2 linked regions of the Lepisosteus oculatus genome follow. The protein of the gene in region 2 interacts with the protein of the main gene of each other region in a biochemical or structural test. Links are inferred from orthologs where the notes say so. Each region holds a gene or a part of one and is shown on either strand. Other genes may lie near its edges.

Region 1 (8,220 bases), on a different chromosome or scaffold from region 2:
GTGCAGTGTGACAGAGAGCTGTAGTGAACTCAACCCACTACAGTGCAGTGTGACAGAGAGGTATACTGAACTCATCCCACTTCAGTGCAGTAGGACAGAGAGCTGTAGTGAACTCAACCCACTACAGTGCAATGTGACAGAGAGCTGTAGTGAACTCAACCCACTACAGTGCAGTGTGACAGAGAGGTATACTGAACTCATCCCACTACAGTGCCTCGTGACAGAGAGGTATAGTGAACTCATCCCACTACAGTGCCTCTTGATAGAGAGGAATAGTGAATTCATCCCACTACAGTGCCTTGTGACAGAGAGGCATAGTGAACTCATCCCACTACAGTGCCTCGTGACAGAGAGGTATAGTGAACTCATCCCACTACAGTGCCTCGTAACAGAGAGATGCAGTGTGTTTCTGAAACAGGACTCCTCCAGCAAAGGAGTTTCTCTGAGTGGGTAGCCCTGAGTCAATCTGCACACACGTCACAACAGGTCTCTTTCTGTAGGCGAGGTGCAGGAGGGTGCTATTACACAGTGCTTTGGGCGTTCTGGTTTCGTCTGCCCACCTAGAAACCATCCCATTCCTGTGACAAGGCCTCATCTCTTTCACAGTGACGCAATCAGACTCCGTGCACTTTCTACAGTGACTGCCTTATTGCTCCAGGGCATGACATCGAGGAAGTAAAAATTACAATCTGATGTGAAAAACTCTGCAAAAAAGTGCAAAGACTCATTTTTAACAATATTCTTACCACCAACGTGCTGTGGTATGGTCCATGCCTTCCATACATAGTCCAAAAAACAACAAACGTCTCTGCCTCCTCTGTCAGACAATCACAAAAGACTCATTTTATAACTCACAGAATTGTACCAATGTTTTAAAGGATTCAGAACGTTGTTTTCACTGATGCAATGCCATCGCTTGTCTTCTAGGGATTCCTCTGCAGGGGACGATGTTCAAACTGCCTGCTTACGAGCTGCTAGTAACAGTACGAGGTCTCCTCACTCTCCACTCCACTTATGCCTTCAAGCACAGGTTTAAGTTATTGTGCCTCACCTCTCAGGAATGTGTTTCTTTGTGGAATAAGTGAAGCACAACATTCTTCAGCTCAATTCTCTCGTGTGGTGAATGAAGACGGTCCCTCCCACAGATATTTGGGATGCTTGTGAATGAAAAGCTCAATCAACATACAGCAAAATCAGTTCTTGGTAGTGGAAGGCAACTTATCAATTCATCTTTTACTTGCTTTAGCTGACAGTTTTATTGGAAGTAGCACATGCTTGTATTTATACAACTGACCACCTTACTGAAACAGCTCAAGCAAAGGGTTCAATAGCTGTTCCCTGTGATTGGAACCTGCAACCACCCCATCATACGTCCAGGGCCTTAACAGCTACTCAACACTCCTGCCTTCAAGTCCTGAACGGAAATCTCTTCTCCACCTGCACGAACTCTGAGCTTTATATGCACAGCTGCTGTTCATAAAAATCAGTTTAAGATCAGTGTCATGCAAGGCGGCCTGTAAGGAAGAAGTAGAGAGCACTCCAATTTCTGAGCTGACTTACTTGAGGTACTGGGCTAGAGTGCCTCCATCCCATTCCCATGGTCCAACTGCAGCCCACAGCATGACACTCAAACTAGGACTTGGGCTCACAACACCAAGCACCAGCAGGACCGAGGAAACACAACTGTCTAAGGTGACTGAGCTCAGTCCCAGAATGCAGGAGGCTGTATAAGTGTCTAAGGTGCCGCTGCAGTAGGTGACTGAGCTGTCAGAGTCATTATGCCAACACTCCCCCACCCCCATGGAGACAGCATCTCAGTGATCCGTACAGAAAGCCAAGGTCTGACCTGCTCTGATTTCACAGAGCACAGAGCACATCCTGGTGGCTGGTGGATGTCTCAGGCACATACGAGTGGACAACAGTTGTTGGCCTTTCAGTTTATCTATCCTTTCCTACAAGCCAGCAGTCAGATTCCCAGTTCATGGGAGACTCCGTGTTGCTCCAGGACTGGTCAGGGCCCTGGAGTGGTGACTAGGAGGTGGAGGGCTCATATTCCAGGTAGGACACAAGCAGCAAAAGTAAAACAGTAAAATGCTGAACAATGGGAGGTCGCTTTGGATAAAGATGTTAGCAACTATATTAACAGTGATGTTGTGGTGCAATGCTTCAGCCAAAGTCCAACTGCTCTAACAGCCAAATCACTCAGCTCTTGTGAACTTCCTCCTCAGGCCTGCACATTTTCCTATGCTACCTGTCAGAAGCTCATAGCGTTAGTGTCACCCGTGTGAACGTCAGTGTTATCGCTGCACCTGTTTCCGAACTCACAAGTTCACGTAACTCACTACTGAGTCCAACTTCTCGTGACCGCATTGACCTAGCTCTGTCGTAACAGCACACGCGAAGAAAGCGGCCACAGGATCGTTTTGTCGTGAGATATGCTCTGTCTTATGCAATGTTTTCCAATAAATCTAGATATGCAATAATTCCAGCAACTCGCTCATGGCCAACTACGCCAATGCACAAATCACATCACTAAGCCTCCGTATTCCTTAAATAAACGCTTTTCGGGTACACTGTTTTTGATATCCTTAGACAACATCCACTAACTCAACACAGCCCTTTGTCCTGCTCCACTTTGCATAAACTGAAGAGAATCCAGAGGCGATTATCTGCAAACCTTGCGTGGGTAACTTTCCTCGTCTAGTATCTGCTAGTTTTTTTTTTAAGAAAATGAAACATGGATGAGAGAGGAAGGTTACACAATCCGCACAGGGCTCAACGTTTCACCCCCCTATGGAGATTAACGACAATCACCGACGATTACTTTCGAATGCGTTCTTTTACCCAAAACCGAAAAAAAAGTGCAAAACACTGCTCTTCACGCACGCATTCAGCACAGCCACCTCTGCCTTCTCCTCCGACTTCCTCTTTTAAAAGAGTTTCATTACTGTCAGTGCACCGAAGTGCAACAAAAAACTAAACTTTATTACCCAGAGGGTTCAACGTGACACACGGCAGAAAGACTGCGGCTGGAAGGATTCAAGTCACTTTGTGAACCGTGCGCCCTGACAGACGGGCAGGGCAGTGCAGGGGCGGGTGTGTGCGCACCGATGAGCGCTCTGGGGAGACAGCCTGCCCCAGCCTGTCAGACAGCACACGATCTCGGTCTTTACCTTGCCAAACTTCTGGTGCTGGACGTAGAGTTGGCCTTCTTTAACGTGCGTATCCATCTCCTTCCGTTCCCCCCGAGAGAGGGTTTTGTTTTCTTGTGAACTTGTCACACGGTTGAATGACTTTTTTTTCTCCTTTTCAGTTTCTTAACTTCTTTTTTTTTCGCCCCCAGACTTCCTACTGCCTGTAACTTCCGCTTGGCAAACGGCAGACGTTGGGGCTTGTGCACCAGCTGCGCTACCGAGAGCCACTGAGCCCGGACTGCTCCTGCTGCCCCATCGGCCACGCGAAGCGTCGCTGCCTCCGCGGCGTGCAAGCCGTGTTCTCCGCGCGAGCGCACGCAGGTCCCCGCCACGCCGCGCCACGCCTCGCAGCGAGTGTGAGTGCGGGACCGGGCTGTGACAGGCGCTGTACTTCGGTCCCCGCCAGCTCCCTCCCTCCGGCTCTGCCCCCGCACAGCGACCCAGCCCCCTCCGCACCCACCCCGCGCCGCGTCACGAGTGGCACAGCGGGGGCCCGGCAGCGCGCAAGCGGACGTTTCGCCCAAAATGTAGCAAAAAAAAACAACACAATTTTGTTCCAACTTAGAATTGCAAGAAGCGCTGAGAAACTCAATGGAGTGATGGACGTGTTTCACATTAAAAGTTGCGCATTAGTAATAGGTGAATGTATATAAAATGTGAATTTGGCTGCGCAGAGTGTGGCATTTACAGTTGTCTGATCTGGGTAAAACTCATTTGGGGAAACATATTTTTAAATTGTTTTCCTGAGCGTTTAAAAGTGAGCTTCTGGCGATGCGTGGCTGACTTGTTCAGTCTTTGTAATTGTATTGTTGCCTCTAGATGGAATTGATCAAATTCAAATGTAGAATGCCAAGTATTAACTATTAATTATCAAGAGCGCACACGTTAAGCACATTACAGGATCATTTAGACACTGCGGTTAGAAGAGTGTACATTTTAAAATCAATTGAAGTTGATGTTTAGGTTACACAATCTGGTATGACCCCAGTTTGAATACTTCGACATGTGGGCGCTACAGGACCAAAGACGACTTTCCTGCTCTGCTCTGCTCGGCAAGTGGGTTAGTTCGGGGCTCGAGGGAAATGCTGTGCAGACACGGAATCTCTTCAGTCCTCGACAAGAAACTATCAGAGCGCTGGATACCCCCGTAGTTAAAACGCTCAAGAGGAAATTGATCAAGTCCGTCCGAGTCATATGGATTCCCAGACCAACTGGAAAACAAGAATGAGGACGCGAAAAAGACACAAGTAGAAAAGGGCTTTTCTTTACACAAAGGATTGTTGTGTAGAAGTACTGTAAATCCCACCCGGGTCCTACGCGAAAAAATCACGACCGAGATCATCGCAGAAGCAAGGTAATATCAAGAGCGCTGTTAGTGTTACTGACTCATGACCTTCCACCGCCCGAATCAAGAGCGAGAGCTCGGTCATCCTCGACCCCCGCAGCTGTCAACCGGCTGCATCTGAAACAGCGGCGCGTATTTGCTTTACATCTGTTTGCTCTCCCATCATTCATCTGTTAAATGTGTACTGTGTGAAGTGTCATGTCTTGAGCTGCATGCACGGCACATTCTCCATCTGGGTCAGTGAAGTACAGGGAGAGCACAAATCAAGAGACGGGTCAGATGGTCTCTGTCATCTTTATTTTCACTCGTGCACCCGATCCTGAAACATAACACAAATTCATTGATAGAGAAATAACCTACTAAATTACCTATAATTAATATCGGCTTGGACAACACTTCTTGTGATACAGAAAACAAGATCTCCAGAGCTTTACACATTCATTTTAATATCACAGACATGGCCACGGAAACCGCGACATCCTTCATTTAATTTTCATATTTTATTTGGTGTAATATATAGTTCCTTGATTTCAACCCATTCATCAATGATGTGCGTTTAAGGATTATAGAAAGGCGGTTTTATTCATAACACATTTTCCACACACTTGAAGTTAGCAGTGGTTTCGCTGAATGTCTACGCAATTCGCAGATTTCTTTAAATAACGATTCGATCGAACACAAAACTATCAATTAAATCACGGGTGCTGTGGCTTATGACTTTATTTTCCAGCTACGTTTCCCTGCTCTGGGAAAGCCCAGTGTTTGCATTAAGCACCGTGAAGGTGCAGTTCAGTCAGCTGAGGCATCAGAGCCAAAGGCGCAGCGAGATATCAAGTGCTGGTGGAGTCTAGCTAGAGGGCGCTACAAACACTCCTGCTTGAATCAGAAGAGTCCTACTGGGGGAGGGAGGAGGAAACTCAAGAGAGTTGCAGCCCAGTGTGAGATCTGCTGTCCCAGCCTGAGGAACAAACAGTGAGTCTGTCTCTCAATAACAATAATACAGTGTGTGATCTCCTGTCCCAGCCTGAGGAACAGTGAGTCTGTCTCTCAATAATAATAATACAGTGTGTGATCTCCTGTCCCAGCCTGAGGAACAGACAGTGAGCCCGTCTCTCAATAATAATAATACAGTGTGTGATCTCCTGTCCCAGCCTGAGGAACAGTGAGTCTGTCTCTCAATAATAATAATACAGTGTGTGATCTCCTGTCCCAGCCTGAGGAACAGACAGTGAGCCTGTCTCTCAATAATAATAATAGTGTGTGATCTCCTGTCCCAGCCTGAGGAACAGTGAGCCTGTCTCTCAATAATAATAATACAGTGTGTGATTTCCTGTCTCAGTCTGAGGAACAGACAGTGAGCCTGTCTCTCAATAATAATAATACAGTGTGTGATCTCCTGTCCCAGCCTGAGGAACAGTGAGCCTGTCTCTCAATAATAATAATACAGTGTGTGATTTCCTGTCTCAGTCTGAGGAACAGACAGTGAGCCTGTCTCTCAATAATAATAATACAGTGTGCGATCTCCTGTCTCAGTCTGAGGAACAGACAGTGAGCCTGTCTCTCAATAATAATAATACAGTGTGTGATCTCCTGTCCCAGCCTGAGGAACAGTGAGTCTGTCTCTCAATAATAATAATTCAGTGTGTGATCTCCTGTCCCAGCCTGAGGAACAGACAGTGAGCCTGTCTCTCAATAATAATAATACAGTGTGTGATCTCCTGTCCCAGCCTGAGGAACAGACAGTGAACCCGTCTCTCAATAATAATAATACAGTGTCATCTCCTGACACAGCCTGAGGAACAGACAGTGAGCCTGTCCCTAAATAATAATAATACAGTGTGTGATCTCCTGACATAGCCTGAGGAACAAACAGTGAGTCTGTCTCTCAATAATAATAATACAGTGTGTGATCTCCTGTCCCAGCCTGAGGAACAGTGAGCCTGTTTCTCAATAATAATAATACAGTGTGTGATCTGCTGTCCCAGCCTGAGGAACAGTGAGCCTGTCTCTCAATAATAATAATACAGTGTGTGATCTCCTGTCCTAGCCTGAGGAACAGACAGTGAGCCTGGCTCTCAATAATAATAATACAGTGTGTGATCTCCTGTCCCAGCCTGAGGAACAGACAGTGACCCTGTCTCTCAATAATAATACAGTGTGTGATCTCCTGTCCCAGCCTGAGAAACAGACAGTGAGCCTGTCTCTCAATAATAATAATAGTGTGTGATCTCCTGTCCCAGCCTGAGGAACAGTGAGCCTGTCTCTCAATAATAATAATACAGTGTGTGATTTCCTGTCTCAGTCTGAGGAACAGACAGTGAGCCTGTCTCTCAATAATAATAATACAGTGTGTGATCTCCTGTCCCAGCCTGAGGAACAGTGAGCCTGTCTCTCAATAATAATAATACAGTGTGTGATTTCCTGTCTCAGTCTGAGGAACAGACAGTGAGCCTGTCTCTCAATAATAATAATACAGTGTGCGATCTCCTGTCTCAGTCTGAGGAACAGACAGTGAGCCTGTCTCTCAATAATAATAATACAGTGTGTGATCTCCTGTCCCAGCCTGAGGAACAGTGAGTCTGTCTCTCAATAATAATAATACAGTGTGTGATCTCCTGTCCCAGCCTGAGGAACAGACAGTGAGCCTGTCTCTCAATAATAATAATACAGTGTGTGATCTCCTGTCCCAGCCTGAGGAACAGACAGTGAACCCGTCTCTCAATAATAATAATACAGTGTCATCTCCTGACACAGCCTGAGGAACAGACAGTGAGCCTGTCCCTAAATAATAATAATACAGTGTGTGATCTCCTGACATAGCCTGAGGAACAAACAGTGAGTCTGTCTCTCAATAATAATAATAATACAGTGTGTGATCTCCTGTCCCAGCCTGAGGAACAGTGAGCCTGTTTCTCAATAATAATAATACAGTGTGTGATCTGCTGTCCCAGCCTGAGGAACAGTGAGCCTGTCTCTCAATAATAATAATACAGTGTGTGATCTCCTGTCCTAGCCTGAGGAACAGACAGTGAGCCTGGCTCTCAATAATAATAATACAGTGTGTGATCTCCTGTCCCAGCCTGAGGAACAGACAGTGACCCTGTCTCTCAATAATAATACAGTGTGTGATCTCCTGTCCCAGCCTGAGAAACAGACAGTGAGCCTGTCTCTCAATAATAATAATAGTGTGTGATCTCCTGTCCCAGCCTGAGGAACAGTGAGCCTGTCTCTCAATAATAATAATACAGTGTGTGATTTCCTGTCTCAGTCTGAGGAACAGACAGTGAGCCTGTCTCTCAATAATAATAATACAGTGTGTGATCTCCTGTCCCAGCCTGAGGAACAGTGAGCCTGTCTCTCAATAATAATAATACAGTGTGTGATTTCCTGTCTCAGTCTGAGGAACAGACAGTGAGCCTGTCTCTCAATAATAATAATACAGTGTGCGATCTCCTGTCTCAGTCTGAGGAACAGACAGTGAGCCTGTCTCTCAATAATAATAATACAGTGTGTGATCTCCTGTCCCAGCCTGAGGAACAGACAGTGAGCCTGTCTCTCAATAATAATAATACAGTGTGTGATCTCCTGTCCCAGCCTGAGGAACAGTGAGCCTGTCTCTCAATAATAATAATACAGTGTGTGATTTCCTGTCTCAGTCTGAGGAACAGACAGTGAGCCTGT
Region 2 (8,292 bases):
AGCATCACTGCTCTCCTTGATATGCTACAAGCTCCATTTTTCCAGAGCAACTATTAAGTATATGACGGCACTAGGGAGTTTTAAGAGAAATTGCATCTACTAACATGTCAACTAACTTTGGCACACCTTATGTCCTTTGGAAGAAAAACAACTAAGTTAATCATACAAAAGCAAAACACGAGAAAAAGAATGTCCTCTATGCTGCATTTATTAATGACCTGTTTTTGGGTGTTCTCCAGTCATTTCACAGATATTCAAGCCAAATACCTTTTTCTCCCAAGGTGGCCAATGCACATTCCGGTAAACACCAGGAAAAAGGTGTGCATACACACACTGGAGCAAACATTTTGCTTCAATACACTGAACAAGTAGAGACTTTGTGGAAACCTAAGTGATCCCCACTGGCAATAGCAAGGCTGTGGTTGCTATTAAGCCAGCTGCTTTCGGATGTGGAAGAAATGATTAATGGGAGAAACGATTAGATCTTACAAGTAGCTCCACAAGTTCCAGCTTCGGCAGGGCTCTTAACCTGCTCTAGAAGAGGGAAACCACATAATCCCCCCAATTTATATATAAAATCAAACTGAAACAAGTCCAGATAAGATCACAGTGTTATCAGAGAATATGAATGTTACACACAACTACAGGAGTAGTATCATCCTATTGACAGTATCTAAGGACTTCATGCAGAGTACAACTGACTTACAGGTATGTATTTTAGTGAGCTATATAGTTTTTCTTTCAGGAGCTTTTTACCTATAAAAAATAGCAGATAACGTATGTTAAATAGAAACCATTTTTAACTCCGCACTGTTGATATCTTGCTGAATCTGTGTGAAGGCCAAGGAATTACACAGGAAAAAGGATCCATTTAAACATACAAACCAGACTCGTATTAATTCAGTTTCAGACCGGAGGCATTTAGGTTAGTAAGGTAAAGCCAAGGAAGGACGTTTTTTGGCTACCAGTAAAGTCTGTGCACTGCAACACCAGGACAAGGGCTGACATTTTTCCAAAGAATTCTATGCCACAAATAACATTCAAATTTCTTGAAGTTGTGCATTTCCAGGATCATGTTAATGCTTGTTTTATATAAACCTACTGGAAAATACTGATTTAACTAATGCTGGCCATTTTATAAAAGTACAATACCTGAACGTGGGGATTTTTGCATCCTGGCTGTTGTGTGGCTTCCATGCACCCCTGAGCAAGACACATTAGTAAGGGTGCGAATCTGTGCTCCAGAACCTTTTCCTTAACAAGGCCTCATCCTCGTGTCTGAGCACGTCTAAATATTTTCATTCCCCTATCGCTTGTGTATATGGCACTAAAGTAAATTCATTTTTCTTTAAATCTGGCGTAAACGTGGCACTAGAGCTAAACGATATCACACCTTGCAGTTGACAACACTTCCTTTGCAGTAGTTCAGTGAGAGGGAACAGCAGCCTTTACTCGTGTGTAACTTGACAGAGCCGAAGCTCACTGCTGTTAACAGGTGGTTAGTGCCCGCACGTGAAAACCTGAAAGCATTTTTTTTTCTCGCCTTCCAATCGTGAGTCTCATGGTTTGCAGCTCTCAAAACCCACACGACTGTAAATTCACTTTTCAATTTTGAACCACTTTCTTTCTCTCCTTACCTGCAACTTCTTGTTCATTTTAATATGCGATCAAGGTATATACCCATCTGTATGCACACATACATATCCATCACCAAAACCTAAGGAACCAGATAAACCGTTCTGTGGCACTATACAGAGCTGCAGGCGTTGTGGGTGTTCACCAAAATTGGCTCAGGATTAACTCCACAGCAAATGAAAACTACAAGAGCGTTTAATTTAGTCCTACTGAATCGAGTTACTTTTTTTTTTAAGCACAATCTCTCTCTCTCTCCCTGCTCAATTAACCAGCTCACGACATTTCCTGTCCCTCGGAATGGACCAGACCCTTGCAGAGCGAGCATACTGTGTTAAGGCAAGAAACTCTCGTCCTGGCGATGAAGTTTTCTTTAGTCTGAGGTAACTGCACTGTAAATGGACAGTACAACAGGAAAGCGTCGCTCTGCAGGTGTCTCAGTGTTGCGTCTGAAGACAGGCCGATTCTTCAAACTCCAATGTTTTAGACAGTAAAAAAGGCCCTGTTCTACCGAGGTGAAAGGATTTGTATCGGCTGTCTGCGACAGGGCGCTGATTCAGCAGCAAGGCTTAGAAAGTTTTTATGGAGAGGTTGTTTGCATCCGGCGCTGCAGCGCTACTCCCTGCAGTTTGAAGCGCACATCAAACCGCTGGCTGTCAACAAGTTGTACCATCAAACTTCACAGCTAAGCGCGGCTCGGATCTCTCCCGAGAGCCCTCTCGTTAACACACAACCGACTTCTTTTCTCTCCCCCGTTTGTTGTGGTGGTGGTGGTGGTTGTTCAAATCATCTTACTTTTTCAATAAATCCCCCCTAACTTACTGGTTCGTAGGCGGCGCGGTCAGCGGGAAGGCGACCTCCTCTTCCTCGTACTCCGCGCCGTCCAGCATGTCGTTTTCGTCCACCGTCCCCAGACCCCCGCAGACGGGGGGCGGCGGAGGAGGGGGCGGCAGAGGGGGGAAGGCGGCGGCGGGCCCGTCCGGACCCCCCGACGTCGGCGACATCCGGATGCCCTGCGCCTCGGGGGTGGGGGGACCCGCCGCCCCGGCCCCCGCGGACGAGCTGCCCCCAGACGGCGAGGGCTGCCCGGCACCGGTGCCACTCCCAGCGCCGGCCACCGGGCACAGGACGACCTCCGAGGGGCCGTCGGGCGGGCGGTGGTGGAGGAGGGCCGGGGCTGCTCCTGGGGCCGACTCACTCACCCGCAATCTCGGCTGGGCAAAGAAAGCAAAGTGGGCCTCCGGGCCTCCGGCGGCAGAAACCCCGGTCCCGGCCGAAACCGAACCTGCCTCCTCGCTTCCGACCTCCGCCGCCATCATGATTTTCTTATAGATTTTTTTTTTCTTCGGGTCCTTCGTTTGTTGTTTCTCGTTGTGTGTGTATATATATATAAAATATGAGCATGCAAAAGAGAGGAGAAAAAGGAAGGAAGGGAGGGAGAGGGGGAATAAAAGGGGTGGAAAAGGGATCCTTCCCCCCAGTCTGTCTTGGGACTCTTGGTTTTTTGTCTCTCTCTCTTGCTCTCTGAACAAACAAAAAAAAAAACAACAAAAAGCTCAGCTCCAAAACTTTCAACTTGGAAGAACTACACCACCTCGCTGGTGCTCCGCCGCCACAGTCCTGCTGAATGCACACGCTCGACAAACCTCCCCCCCCACACACACACACACCCCCCTCCAAAACAAAAACAAAACAACCGCGGACGGCTGGGCTCCAAAAATGAGTTTTTAAGTCTCCATCCTCGTCGCCGGGCTGGGGAAAAGTTGAAGAAAGTGTGGCACCGAGCGAGCAGGGTGCGAGGCAGAGACACGGCGTCTCCCCTCTCCGGGGCAGCAGGTCCACTTGTCGGGAGCGTGTGGCTTATTGTCAGTCTCTGCCTCCCAGGCTTCTGTCTTTCTTTCTTTTTTGTCTCTCTCCCTCTCTCTTCTTCTGCTTTGCTTGTTTCAGCGGCGATTTCCAGCCTGCAGTTGTGAACACCTCTCCTCTCTCTCTCTCTCTCGCCCCCTGGCCGTTGCAATGCCCGTTTCCTCCGCTCGCTTCTGTTTTAGATTGGCCCCTCGCCGTAGCCCAGCCGGATGTGAAAAAATTGTTAGATTGTTTCTTGCGCAAGTTGGTGTTTTTTTTTTTTGTTCGTTGCGCTGCCGAGAGCTGTGGGTTGTTGTTTTTTTTCCCCCTCCCCTGCGCTGCCGAGAGAGCTATAGCTCTTACCTCTCTCTCCCGTACTGGAAGCGTGTTGACGCTCAGGCTCAGACCCGGCCAAGCGAGCGCCGAGCGGCTCGACCGCGCCTTCGATTCGCCCGGCTTCTGAGAAAATCACTGCCTGAGAAGTGGGGCAATGGAATGGATTTCTCTTATTTAAAAAAAACAAACAAACAACAACAACTCTTTTTTTACCATTATACAGAAAAACAACAACGTAAACTGGGGCAGAAGAGGAACGTTTAACTTATTTTTTTCCCTGTACAGTAACATTTTGGACAACCCCCTTCAATCTCTGTGGACAACCTACTACTACTACTGCCAGAATAAAATAACTGAATCTTTTCAACGCTGAACAGAGAAGACTAGGAGGGGTGTTCAGAACAGTGTTCAAAACCCCCCCGAAGCACTGACAGAGAGATAAACCTGACTTCTTCAGGCCTGAAAGTGAAAAATAAACCAGCAGGCATAAGTGGGATCTATGGATGAGTGCATTTAAAGCTTAGAACAGGAGGCTCTTCTCTACACAGAGGACTGCAGGAGTATGGAACAGTACGTGTAGCTGAAGCTAGAGTCCTGGCTTCTTTCAAGGAACAGCTGAATCAATGAAAACAGCTAGGATCAATTAGCTACTGATAATGCACATTAGCTGGTCTAATGACCTGATTATTTCTAAGCTTTCTTGTGTTTTATTCACCAGTGTATACAGTAAGTACACAACACATTGTAGAGCCATCTGCCAGGACAGTGTCCAAGGAGCTAGGAAAGGGAGCTCAGGATATTGGGACTGGCTCTGTGGGAATGATGGGAAGCCTCCATCGACAGTACACGGCTGTGTAGCATTTCTTTGTCTGAGCTGTTCCTTTGTTGCTCCCTTCTGTCACACTGTCACCCTGCCTGCCTTGGCTGCTTCAATATCCGTGGGGTCCAGCCTCCCATGCGTGAGTCTGAGTGCTCCCTGTGTTGGTGATTCTGAGTATTTCAGGCTTAAATGAGGGGCGTGGCTCAATAATGAGCCCGGTTCTGCCCCTGGGAGTCCCTTCCTGGCGCTAGAAACTTGCATCTGTTTAAAAGCACTGCAGTATGTACATTAATATGCTGCGGCGTTTATACTTGCCTCTTTACTCATTCTTACAATGACTTTCATTTGTACGCCTTACACTCATATTCCTACCCTCTCCCTCAACTCCCTGCACAACTAGAAACACAGGCAAATTACCGGGTTTCTTCCCATTTTCCTTCTAGTGTGGAATCACCACTACTTGTCAAATCCAAAACAGGGTCACGGGGAGCCTGGAGTGTCAGAGCCGACATTGGCAAGCTACAGGCATGAGATGAGGTACCCCCTGGATGGGACACACACTCACACCAGGGCTTATTTTCCCAGAAGCCAATTAACCTACCAGTTGGTCTTTTTAACCATGGGAGGAAAGCCATGCAAACAGTAGGAGAACATAGAAGCTCCACGCAGATAGCATCCCAGGAACTGAAAACAGGGCCCCAGTTCTGTGAGGCAGTGATGCTAACCACTGTGCCACTGTGCTGCCCTTGCAACAGTTTTGTAGTTCTGAATCTAATACTTTAATACAATTGTTAATTTAATCTCAATATAAGGAAGAAAAATCTATGTTCTGATTGTTTCAGTTGCTCAGGGAGTTACTCAGAACATTTGCCTTTTGCAGGTGTTCCCTGATGTGACAGTCACCCTAATACAACCACCACGCCAGCATACATAGTGTAACGCTTATGGCCGACAAGCACTGTGTGTAAGAGCCGGCGTACCAGAGCGGGTGACGTCACCGCCCTTCCCTGTGATAGCAGGACCACAGCTACTGGGCTGTGGAGAGATCTCTCATTAGCTCACGGGGCTAGGTCGCTGCAGAGAGATGCGGAAGTCCCGGGTTCGAGCCTCCAGTCGGGATGGGGCCGACCAGATGCGGCAAGGGAAGGGCGGTGACGTCACCTGCTCTGGTACGCCGGCTCTTACACACAGTGTTACAATATCATCCTACAACTCACAGCTGGCAGCCCACTGGAGCTCAGCAGGTGTGAGCCTGGTCAGTACCTGGATGGGAGACCTCCTGGGAAAAACTAAAAAGGTGTTAGTGGGGCCAGCAGGTGACACTCACCCTGCGGTCCATGTGGGTCCTCATGCCCCAGTAATATAATAATAATAATAAACTTTATTTTATATAGCGCCTTTAAAGGTGGCTTCTCAAAGCGCTTTACAGGATGACAATAACAATAAATAAGAAGACTACAACAATAAATAAGAAAATTTCACAAGACAGGACACAATTATGATTGCAACAATACAACAGTAACAATAGAGGAGACCGTAGAAGATGGTATTAAGAAGAGCAGAGGGGTGAAGAATGGAACCAGTTAAGTAAAGGCTTTTCTGAAAAGGAGGGTTTTGAGTCTGGATTTGAAGGAGTTTAGAGAAGGTGACTCTCTAATATCCTTGGGCAAAGAGTTCCAGAGCTTGGGGGCATAGCAGGAGAAGGCCCTGTCGCCCATACAATGTAGACGGGCTTGGGGGACAGTAAGGAGGGCAGAATTTGAAGAGCGGAGGTTGCGAGGTGGGGAGTAGGGCGATAAAAGTTCAGACAGGTATTGAGGTGCCAGGCCATGTAAAGCCTTGTAGGTGAGCATGAGGATTTTAAAGTCTACACGGAATTTGACCGGAAGCCAGTGCAAGGACTCCAGGATAGGAGTAATGTGAACACTTGCACTAGACCTGGTCAGGATTCTGGCTGCTGAATTTTGGACATACTGCAGCTTGTTCAGAGTAGATTTAGATACCCCAGGGAGCAGAGCATTGCAGTAGTCAATTCGAGAGAATACAAATATGTTGATTAGCTTTTCAGCCACAGTTAATGATAGCATAGGGCGTAGTCTTGCGATATTTCTAAGGTGAAAAAAAGATGTTTTGACAGTATGCTGTACATGTGGGTCGAATGTTAAGCCAGAATCGAATATAACCCCAAGGTTTTTCAATTTTGATTGGAGCTCAAGTACAGAGCCATCTACAGACAGGGTTACAGGACTGGCTTTACGAAGTTGATGGGGGGTACCAATAAGCATGACTTCAGTCTTGTCACAGTTAAGATGAAGGAAGTTTTGAGTCATCCAAATTTTTATGTCAGAGATGCAATTAGATAGAATAGAGACAGCCACATCAGTGTCGGGTTTGGTATGGATGTATATTTGAGTATCGTCAGCGTAAAATAGTGATGGGGACACAATACTGTGCCGGATGAGACATAAAACCAAAGTCCTGACTCTCTGTGGTCATTAACAATCCCAGGGTGTCTCTCAAAAAGAGTAGGGCTGTTACGCCAGTGTCCTGGCAAAATTTCCCATTGGCCCTTACCAATCATGGCCTCCTAATAATCCTCATCTAAGAATTGGCTTCATTACTCTGTTCTCCTCCCCACTAATAGCTGATGTGTGGTAAGTGTACTGGCGCACTATAGCTGCCGTTGCATGATCCAGGTGGGGGCTGCACTTTTGGACTGGTAGAAGGGAATCCCCATTACCTGTAAAGCGCTTTGAGTGGAGTGTCCAGAAAAGTACCACATAAGCGTAAGGAATTACTATTATAATTATTACATACACACAGGCTGCCAGACCTTATAACCGCTGAATGAGGGTGAGTTTGACAACAGAGTGAAGATTTCAGCCATCTTAATGGGGTGGAGCCGTGGCACTGTGGCTAAGAATCTGCGTCTGTGGCTGGAAGGTTGCCAGAGGAATCCTACTCCGTTGGGCCCCTGAGCAAGGCCCTTAACCCCAGCTGCTCCAGGGGCCCTGTATAAATGACAGACCCTGTGCTCTGACCCCAAGATTCTTTTCCTATCTGTGTGTCTCATGGAGAGCAAGCTGGGGTATGCAAAAATACAAATTCCTAATGCAAGAAATTGTATATGGCTAATAAAGTGATCTTATCTTAAACAGAATGGAAAGAGGTGATACTATTCTGCTGAGGGTTTTGACAAAATGGCTAGAATATCGGCAGCTGTGATTGCTAACAGGCACTGGTAGAGAAAAGGAGCAGTGGAGAGGAAGCCCACACTAGGACTGAGAACTTGGCTGCTGTGAATATCCTGTTCCATGGGCTGAGTTGCTGACTCATCGTTTTAGGTTGTGATTGGTTGTGATTGGCCTCTGTGTTCTCAGTTTCTATTGGTTCATGTTTCACAGCTTTGTTTTGGATTGGTTTGGGGTGTCTTCTTTTCAGACTGTCTGTTATTAGGTTAGGGGATAATCCACTTGTGCCATCTGAGACCCCATAAAAGGGTACTCTTTGGTCTGCTTAGTCTCCTGAATATGAACCACTATGAACCAATATGAAAGGTTTTCACTCTTATTCCTGTCTTTCCACAATCTTCAAAGCCTCAGCCAGGATGCTGATTTGCTCAGTTCAACAGATTATTTGGAAAATAAGTGGAGGGTAAT

What was found.
Region 1: the proteins of ras GTPase-activating protein 1 (region 2) and dok1b form a complex in vitro, tested with the Homo sapiens proteins (2 studies listed by BioGRID, with this or other methods). The link is inferred for Lepisosteus oculatus from reciprocal best matches to the Homo sapiens genes RASA1 and DOK1.

The regions. Positions count from the first base shown.
Region 1 is NC_090696.1:2,884,226-2,892,445, reverse strand, and holds the start of dok1b (docking protein 1b), read right to left. Parts: upstream 3,640-8,220; 5' UTR 3,231-3,639; coding exon 3,174-3,230; intron 1-3,173. UniProt on the Homo sapiens protein: DOK proteins are enzymatically inert adaptor or scaffolding proteins. They provide a docking platform for the assembly of multimolecular signaling complexes. DOK1 appears to be a negative regulator of the insulin signaling pathway.
Region 2 is NC_090698.1:71,891,258-71,899,549, reverse strand, and holds the start of ras GTPase-activating protein 1, read right to left. Parts: upstream 3,875-8,292; 5' UTR 2,952-3,874; coding exon 2,455-2,951; intron 1-2,454. UniProt on the Homo sapiens protein: Inhibitory regulator of the Ras-cyclic AMP pathway. Stimulates the GTPase of normal but not oncogenic Ras p21; this stimulation may be further increased in the presence of NCK1.